Xenopus tropicalis: one gene and its partner. The protein of the gene in region 2 interacts with the protein of the main gene of each other region in a biochemical or structural test. Links are inferred from orthologs where the notes say so. Each region holds a gene or a part of one and is shown on either strand. Other genes may lie near its edges.

Evidence for each region.
Region 1: the proteins of drd2 (region 2) and ncs1 form a complex in vitro, tested with the Homo sapiens proteins (2 studies listed by BioGRID, with this or other methods). The link is inferred for Xenopus tropicalis from reciprocal best matches to the Homo sapiens genes DRD2 and NCS1.

Annotation. Positions count from the first base shown.
Region 1 is NC_030684.2:13,239,313-13,243,706, forward strand, and holds the start of ncs1 (neuronal calcium sensor 1), read right to left. Parts: upstream 2,823-4,394; 5' UTR 2,476-2,822; coding exon 2,412-2,475; intron 1-2,411. UniProt on the Homo sapiens protein: Neuronal calcium sensor, regulator of G protein-coupled receptor phosphorylation in a calcium dependent manner. Directly regulates GRK1 (RHOK), but not GRK2 to GRK5. Can substitute for calmodulin. Stimulates PI4KB kinase activity.
Region 2 is NC_030683.2:86,295,055-86,299,643, forward strand, and holds the end of drd2 (D(2) dopamine receptor), read left to right. Parts: intron 1-315; coding exon 316-655; intron 656-2,940; coding exon 2,941-3,134; 3' UTR 3,135-3,885; downstream 3,886-4,589. UniProt on the Homo sapiens protein: Dopamine receptor whose activity is mediated by G proteins which inhibit adenylyl cyclase. Positively regulates postnatal regression of retinal hyaloid vessels via suppression of VEGFR2/KDR activity, downstream of OPN5.

The DNA of each region.
Region 1 (4,394 bases), on a different chromosome or scaffold from region 2:
TGGCCCATGGGCTACCTAGGAAATGGATCCAACATGCCACCCCAGAATAAAGTACCCCAGGGTGATGCTATTTTTAAGCACAAGCTAAGTGGTTTGCCCCACTGGAGGGGTGCCCAACATTATGGCTAATTCTTTGTTAGAGAAAAAGATTTATCAGTGGTAGTTCCCCTTTAAGTCTGCGAAGGGACCAGCTATATTACATATATATATATTCCTCCTGCCCGATATAATAAATTATACATGACAGAGGCAACACTTGAAGACAATTCAGGCAATCATCCAATTGACAGAAAAGTGTTGCCCCGGGGTGTCTAGCACAGCTGCACCATGTGACTAGATTAACACACACTCTGGGTGCTGCCCCCCCCCCCCCTTCTCCAGGTGCAGGGGGTGTGAGACAGCAGAGGGGGTCATGGGTAGGGTGGGGCCCAGAAATACACTTTGCTGAGGGGCCCCTGGCTACATTTCACCCTCAGTTCCACTGCACCAAGTCCCTTTACAATAAGGGGCCCTGTATTCACTGCAGTGAAGCAGCAGCAAAGCACTCAGATCAGTGGCAGGCAAGTCCATACCATCCAGCTACGGCTGAACTACAACTCCCAGCACCCTTAGCGCTCATCTTGGCATGCCTTTTTGTTTGGTTGTCTTTCGGTCAGAAATACAACTCCCAGCATTCCAGTCAATCATATAAGCAGCTATATCTGACACTGTGTGCCAGGGGCAGGACTGGCAATACCCAGCAGCCTCTGCAAGCCAAATGCTGAAGGATAAACATACGCACGTGGTAGCTAAGGTTGGTAGCAGGTAACAGAGACTTCCAACGCCCAGCAACCATAGAGCAGAAGTATGCATTGTGCTGTAACACTCCCAGGATCAGCCTGAAATTGCTTAACTGCAGCTCCCAGATTTCCCTGCTAGCCAAGGTTACACTCACACCAGTGGCCCCACCACAGATCCCCCCCAACCTAAAGGCTAGGTAAAGGCTACAGCTGGTCCATGCAGAAATACAGCTCCCAGCATGCTCAGCTGGCAAGTATGCCTGATCATTATACCCCTGAAACTCCCAGCATGCTCAGCTGGCAAGTATGCCTGATCATTATACCCCTGAAACTCCCAGCATGCTCAGCTGGCAAGTATGCCTGATTATACCCCTGAAACTCCCAGCATGCTCAGCTGGCAAGTATGCCTGATCATTATACCCCTGAAAGTGCAGTCCCAGCATGCTCAGCTGGCATGTATGCCTGATCATTAAAACCCTGAAACTCCCAGCATGCTCAGCTGGCAAGTTTGCCTGATTATTAAACCCCTGAAACTCCCAGCATGCTCAGCTGGCAAGTATGCCTGATCATTATACCCCTGAAACTCCCAGCATGCTCAGCTGGCATGTATGCCTGATCATTATACCCCTGAAACTCCCAGCATGCTCAGCTGGCAAGTATGCCTGATCATTATACCCCTGAAACTCCCAGCATGCTCAGCTGGCATTTATGCCTGATCATCAAAACCCTGAAACTCCCAGCATGCTCAGCTGGCAAGTTTGCCTGATTATTAAAACCCTGAAACTCCCAGCATGCTCAGCTGGCAAGTATGTCTGATCATTAAATCCCTGAAACTCCCAGCATGCTCAGCTGGCATGTATGCCTGATCATCAAAACCCTGAAACTCCCAGCATGCTCAGCTGGCATGTATGCCTGATCATTAAAACCCTGAAACTCCCAGCATGCTCAGCTGGCAAGTATGTCTGATCATTAAATCCCTGAAACTCCCAGCATGCTCAGCTGGCAAGTATGTCTGATCATTATACCCCTGAAACTCCCAGCATGCTCAGCTGGCAAGTATGTCTGATCATTATACCCCTGAAACTCCCAGCATGCTCAGCTGGCAAGTATGTCTGATTATTAAATCCCTGAAACTCCCAGCATGCTCAGCTGGCATGTATGCCTGATCATTATACCCCTGAAACTCCCAGCATGCTCAGCTGGCAAGTATGCCTGATCATTAAAACCCTGAAACTCCCAGCATGCTCAGCTGGCATGTATGCCTGATCATTATACCCCTGAAACTCCCAGCATGCTCAGCTGGCAAGTATGCCTGATCATTAAAACCCTGAAACTCCCAGCATGCTCAGCTGGCAAGTATGTCTGATTATTAAATCCCTGAAACTCCCAGCATGCTCAGCTGGCATGTATGCCTGATCATTATACCCATGAAACTCCCAGCATGCTCAGCTGGCAAGTATGCCTGATCATTAAAACCCTGAAACTCCCAGCATGCTCTGCGGGCAATAATAGCACTGCAACAGCTGATGATCCACAGGCTGATTAGAGCAGCTGCTATAAGAACAATGGGAGTTACCAGAGCATTCCTGCCCCCCCAGTAGCACATTTGCCCCCCCCCAGTGCTGTACTCACAGTAGGTTTTCCTGGTCAGCTCCTCCACCACCTCAGGCTTCAGCTTGCTGTTGGATTTCCCCATTGTTCGCGAAGTCTTTCCACCTCCTCCGCCCCCTTATGGGGTTAATTCATGGAATCAACTCCCCCAGCAGCCGCCTGAGCCTTAGGACGGGGCCCCTCTCGGTGCAGGTAACCGGGGTGTATATATAGGTGTGAGAAGGGCGCACTAGGGGGAAACGGGGGGTGGAAGGGAAGGTACGGTGTGCCTGACGCGCTGCAGCTCCGCTTTCACTCTCTGTCGCCCCCCCCCCCACGGCAGAATGGATGGAGCTGGAGGCGGCAGTTGTGCCTGTGGGGTTCCCAGGCCTAGGCTGAGCCCGCTGTGTGCGAGTGAGGGGCTGTCTCAGCCGTGTTGGCTGGGGAGCTCGGTGCCTACTGCCCGCTGCCTCCCTCCGTGTGCTTCTGTGGTTGTCCCTAGTTACTTTGCGCTCCTCCTCTCCGTGCCTTCCATTCACTGGCTGCCCGGGAGCATTACAGCCTGCGCTCCGCCCCTTCTCCTCATGACACACTCACTCCCCATTAATTTATTTTCTATCCCCCCCCTCACTCCATTCTTCTCCTTTGCAGATAATGCAGCCATCCTCCTATCCTTCCCCCAAGAACCTCCCTGTTATGTCTGTATCTCTGCTGGAAATATTAATGCCCCAGGCCCCTTATTAGCCTCTGGCACATTGGCACACAGACCCTTGGCACCTCAGGGTGCCAGGCTGGCAGCCAGGGTTGGACTAGGCTGGCGGGACACCGCAGGGTCAGACTGGGCTGGTGGGGTACTGGGAAAAAACCTGACCCAGACCTGATCCATATGGTGATCCCCAGGGTTTGACTGGGCCGCCGGGTAACCGGGAAAAATCCCAGGGGGCCCCCGGCGGCCAAGACTCCACCCTCGCTGGCGCTCCCCCTGCCTGACCGGTCCTCCCCTGAAGCGTTAAACTTACATGCGCTCAGGGGAGGACTGGGGGTGGGGGGGTTAGGGTATGTGCCGGCGGGGGCACCTGCAGGGCCCCTGGGGCAAGAGGGGGGGCCCCCTCATCCCATGTCCCCTAACCTCCCCACCCCCCTGCGGGGGTTAGGGGGGGCCCCTGTGGGGGTGGGGGGGGTTAGGGGACGTGCCGGTGGGGGCACCTGCAGGGCCCCTGGGGTGGGAGCCTTGGTGGGCCCTGCACCCCCCAGTCCAAGTAAAATGCACACATGCTCAGGGGAGCGAGTTGGGTGGATAGCGGGGGCACCTTGGGTGGTAGTCCCGGTGGGCCTTGTGCCCCCCCCAGTCCAAGTATAATGTACACATGCTCGGGGGAGCGAGTTGGGTGGATAGCGGGGGCACCTTGGGTGGTACCCCCGGTGGGCCTTGTGCCCCCCCCAGTCCAAGTATAATGTACACATGCTCGGGGGAGCGAGTTGGGTGGATAGCGGGGGCACCTTGGGTGGTACCCCCGGTGGGCCTTGTGCCCCCCCCAGTCCAAGTATAATGTACACATGCTCGGGGAGCGAGTTGGGCGGATAGCAGGGGCACCTTGGGCGGTAGTCCCGGTGGGCCTTGTGCCCCCCAGTCCAAGTATAATGTACACATGCTCGGGGAGCGAGTTGGGCGGATAGCAGGGGCACCTTGGGCGGTAGTCCCGGTGGGCCTTGTGCCCCCCAGTCCAAGTATAATGTACACATGCTCGGGGGAGCGAGTTGGGCAGATAGCGGGGGCACCTTGGGTGGTAGTCCCGGTGGGCCTTGTGCCCCCCAGTCCAAGTATAATGTACACATGCTCGGGGGAGCGAGTTGGGCGGATAGTGGGGGCACCTTGGGTGGTAGTCCCGGTGGGCCTGGTGCCCCCCAGTCCAAGTATAATGTACACATGCTCGGGGGAGCGAGTTGGGCAGATAGCGGGGGCACCTTGGGTGGTAGCCCCGGTGGGCCCTGCACAGGCCAGTCTGACCCTGGGACATCAGGAAA
Region 2 (4,589 bases):
CTGTTTAATTCAAGAATAAACAAAAACCATAGATTGTTCCTGTTTAATACAATAAACAAAAAGCATATAGAGCCCAAGTCCCATTCATTGTACTCATGTTGAACAAGAGGGTTTACTGCACCATTAATATATTGATAAATCCAGAATAAAAATGTTGTAAACTTGTCCCTGAAAACTTTCCACTTAATATGAATATTAATCCGTGATCATCAATTTTTATTATCATGTATATATTATGGTAGGGTCATACTATAACCTGTAATATGAACTAGTTATTTATTTATCTTTGTTATTGAATATTTGATCCTTGTCCAGGAGGCTGGCAACCACCCAGAGGATATGGACGTGGAGATGATGTCAAGCACATCTCCACCAGAAAAAACCAAACACAAGTCTGCTTCTCCTAATCATCACCAACTTGCTGTGCCAGCCACATCAAACCAGTGCAACAATGCCAACCTACCTTCACCGGTGGATAGTCCTTACAAAGCTGAAAAGAATGGACATCCAAAAGACAGTACAAAGCCTGCCAAAGTTTTTGAAATTCAGACAATGCCTAATGGGAAAACACGGACCTCCATTAAAACAATGAGCAAGAGAAAGCTTTCGCAACATAAGGAAAAAAAAGCTACACAAATGTTAGCCATTGTATTGGGTAGGTATCCACTTTATTGTGAAAATTAAAGTCATATTTAAACAATAATTGCATGAAGTTCCTCTGAAAGGATAATTAAAACTTAATTTTAATATGTTTTAATTTGTACCAAATTGTGCCTAATTAAACATCATATCTGCTCTTTTATCTTTATATCTCATGCTTCATAACATAAGTACAACTATGACAGATCATTTTTTAAACTTATATTGTTCATCTATATGTTTGGTTTGATCAAACTTGCCAAACATCTCCCCATATTATTACTTATTCACATATTTTTCACATTATGACATGTGGTCAAAATCTGTTTTGGATTTAATAGATTCTGATCAGCTTTGCTATAAAATTATCAATATCATTTATTTATATAGCACCAGAAAGTTACACAACACTTTGGGGCACATTTACTAACCCACGAACGGGCCGAATGCGTCCGATTGCGTTTTTTTCGTAATGATCGGTATTTTGCGATTTTTTCGGAAAATTGACGCGACTTTTTCGTTACCAATACGATTTTTGCGAAAAAACGCGAGTTTTTCGTAGCCATTCCGAAAGTTGCGATTTTTTCGTAGCGTTAAAACTTGCGCAAAAAGTTGCGATTTTTTCATAGTGTTAAAACTTGCGCGAAACGTCGCGCCTTTTAAGTTTTAACGCTACGAAAAAAGCGCAACTTTTCACGCAAGTTTTAACGCTACGAAAAAATCGCAACTTTCGGAATGTCTACGAAAAAGTCGCGTTTTTTCGCGCAAATCGTATTGGTAACGAAAAAGTCGCGATAATTTCCAAAAGGTCGTAAAGGCGCCGAAAAAATCGCAAAAAATACGAAAAAGTCGCAAAATGTTCGTTTTCAAATCGGATTTTTCCAATTCGGACTCGGATTCGACCCATAGTAAATGTGCCCCTACGTATTCCTTTCTAACAGACAGTTGTGAATAGTTAAAAATATAACTAGAGTTACAGAGCACAAAGGAGCACAAAGCACAGGAGGCCCCTACTCACAGTCTAAATTGGGTACATTTGAAAAATAAAGAAGATAAAAATAATAGGTGAATTATGATAAGTTGATGTCTTATCAGTCAGGATGCATTGAATATGCGTCTTTAAATTGGTGGGTCTTTTGAAGTTTTTGAAAGTTTGGAAGGATGGGGAGAATCTAAAAACAGACAGAGGATTCCAGGGACAGGCAGAAGCCCGATAAATATACAGCAGCAGATGTGAAGTTGTGATAGATAAATTAATCTAGCAGCAGGTTTAAGATCAGGTTGGAGTTGTGAAACACAATATTGGAATGCCTGCAAGGAGTAAGAAATAGTAAGAAATGATGTCTAGGAAGAGTAGCAGTAGTCAAGGTAGGAAATAATAAGAAGTGTTTAGTTGTATCTGAGCTGAGGTAAGGTTGCATGCAAGCAATGTTGTGGTACAGGGGAATATGTTGGAGGAAAAATAATAAGACTCCATAGCAATTGACACTGTCACATTGAGATAGAGATAGCAAAAAGGCATTCTGTATCTTGAGAAAAGACAGAAGGAGACAAATCAGGAGTTTACAGGTAGATTTGGGTGTCATCAGCATAAAGGTGATACTAAAGTCCAAATGACTAAGTTTTCTAGAGAAGTGAAAAAATCAGAGGCCTAAGAAACAGCCTTAAGAAACTCCAACAAAGACAGGTAATCATGTGAAAGTAAAGTTGGAGAGAGCAACTTTAAGGCTATTGTCCCACAGATCGAGTTTTCGTGAAATTTACTCCTGCAGCCAGACTTTGATGTGACTCCTATTGTTGCCTAGATTTTGGAGTGGTTAGGTGCCTGCGGTAGCAGAGATCACAGGTGACAAACTCGCTCCATGGGACATTAGCCTAAAGGAACAATTAGAATGATCGGATTTAAACCATGAGTAGAAACCAGCTGAGTAGAAAATGTCTAGGAGGAGTGGGTAAACAACATTACATGTTTATGGTCATAAGCTGCATGGGTTTTTCCAAATGTATTCATGTTTAATTGCCTTTACCGTCAATTGTGCCTTTCTACTTATGTTACCAATTTTCCCTAACTTATAGGACTAGACCTGCCCATGCATCATAAAATGCTTTGTTGTTCAATATGTAAAGATGCAAAATCTCAGCATACATTTTACTAACTACCCCAGTGATTTAACAACAGCGGCACTAATGAGATTTCAGTGGTACTTATTAGAACAACCAATTACAAATCAGCTCTTTTGAGTTAAACTTTGGTATCTGTATTGTAACTATTATAGTTATAATTATTATTTTGTCTTGCAGGTGTTTTCATTATTTGCTGGCTTCCTTTCTTCATAATTCACATACTAAATATGCATTGCAATTGTAACATTCCACAAGCCTTGTACAGCGCCTTCACTTGGCTTGGTTATGTGAACAGTGCTGTCAATCCAATTATCTATACTACATTTAATGTGGAGTTCAGAAAGGCCTTCATTAAAATACTTCATTGTTAAAAGACAAGATAGAAGAATAATGCAGTAATCAATAACAAGAAGATACAAGACACAGAAGAAACAAGCACGTCCTGGGTTCCCTTGGACTGGTGAAAATGGTGCTTTGTGAGCAATTATAGCAGCTGAATGCTGTTATGTGGAGAGGTCTGTAAAAGGGTCAAGCTGATGTAACTAAAACATAGTACTGCATTTTAAGCAATTGTTTTGGAATGGGGGATAAGAGTTCTTACCAACAAGCAACATTAAGAAGAAAATCAATTTCAACTGAATTCAGCCATCAATAATGACCTTACTTAATGGTTTCAGGACACTGTATGTCACTGCAGTCTCACCAAAGACGTTGCTATTTTTTGCTATTCCTCTTTTTCATAGCAGAAAAGTTACGATTTGCAGGGACAACACTGTGAATACCAGTGAAACTATATATTTTTCTGGAAACTGAACACCCTACACACTTCTGGTTGTGTGCCTTGGGTTTCTATGGAAGTGATGTTAACGTAAGCTTTCTTAATCATTTGACCCAAAAGAGTAAAAATCAACACAAGACAACAATGTTGAGGCAGCCTTATGCTTACAAGTGTAAATATAGCAAGAATAATTTGAAAGAAGCCCAAGCAAAAAAGTATATATATATATATATTATATAGAAAAATAAAATCTGTACTGCATGGTGTGTGTTACATTAAAGGACTACCATTGTCACACCATATCTATACCGTTGGGATTTAATACTAAACACCTTTTACAATCATTTCTTCTTTGTCCTACTTTTACATGTATGGTACAGTAAGATACAATATCGCTGAGATGTTAACCATAGCACCAGTGCAGTATATCACAGAGGTTTTCTACATCAAGTTGAAGTTGTTGCCTATTTATTTTAAAACTATACTTTTCAATTTCAAATGCTACAGACAGGGCTGTATTTAGGTTTGGTGCCACCCTAGGCACTGGAAATAAATATGCGCCTATGTTGCAAAAGTGAAATCACGCATAGCGTGTACGTGACATCCCTTCCTGTGCCGTGTGACATCACTTCCGCAGTGTGTTTGCCAGTCTTGCCACTATTTACTCCACATTTTTCTCAATCAAATAATTCTCAGTAAAGTTATGGAAGCCTGAAATGATCCAAAAACCAGATAGCCCAAATTCCCATAGCCCCAGGTGTATGTACTACATAGATAAAAAGGCAACATATAGCCCCTTCCAAAGCTGCTTCCAAAGGACTCCAGACCTATACTGGTGTGTGGGTTGCACACATTTACATGGATTTTTGCTTACCAAATCATATATATTTATATGTATGTATAAATTAATGGGTTACTGAATCAACGAGTTCATCAAAAGTAATGGGTGAACGTGGTGCCGATATCAACATTAAATTAATATTAGAGATCTAATAGAAAAGATTTGGATATTTAGTGTTAATTTTAATATGTATTCTTTTTTAATATA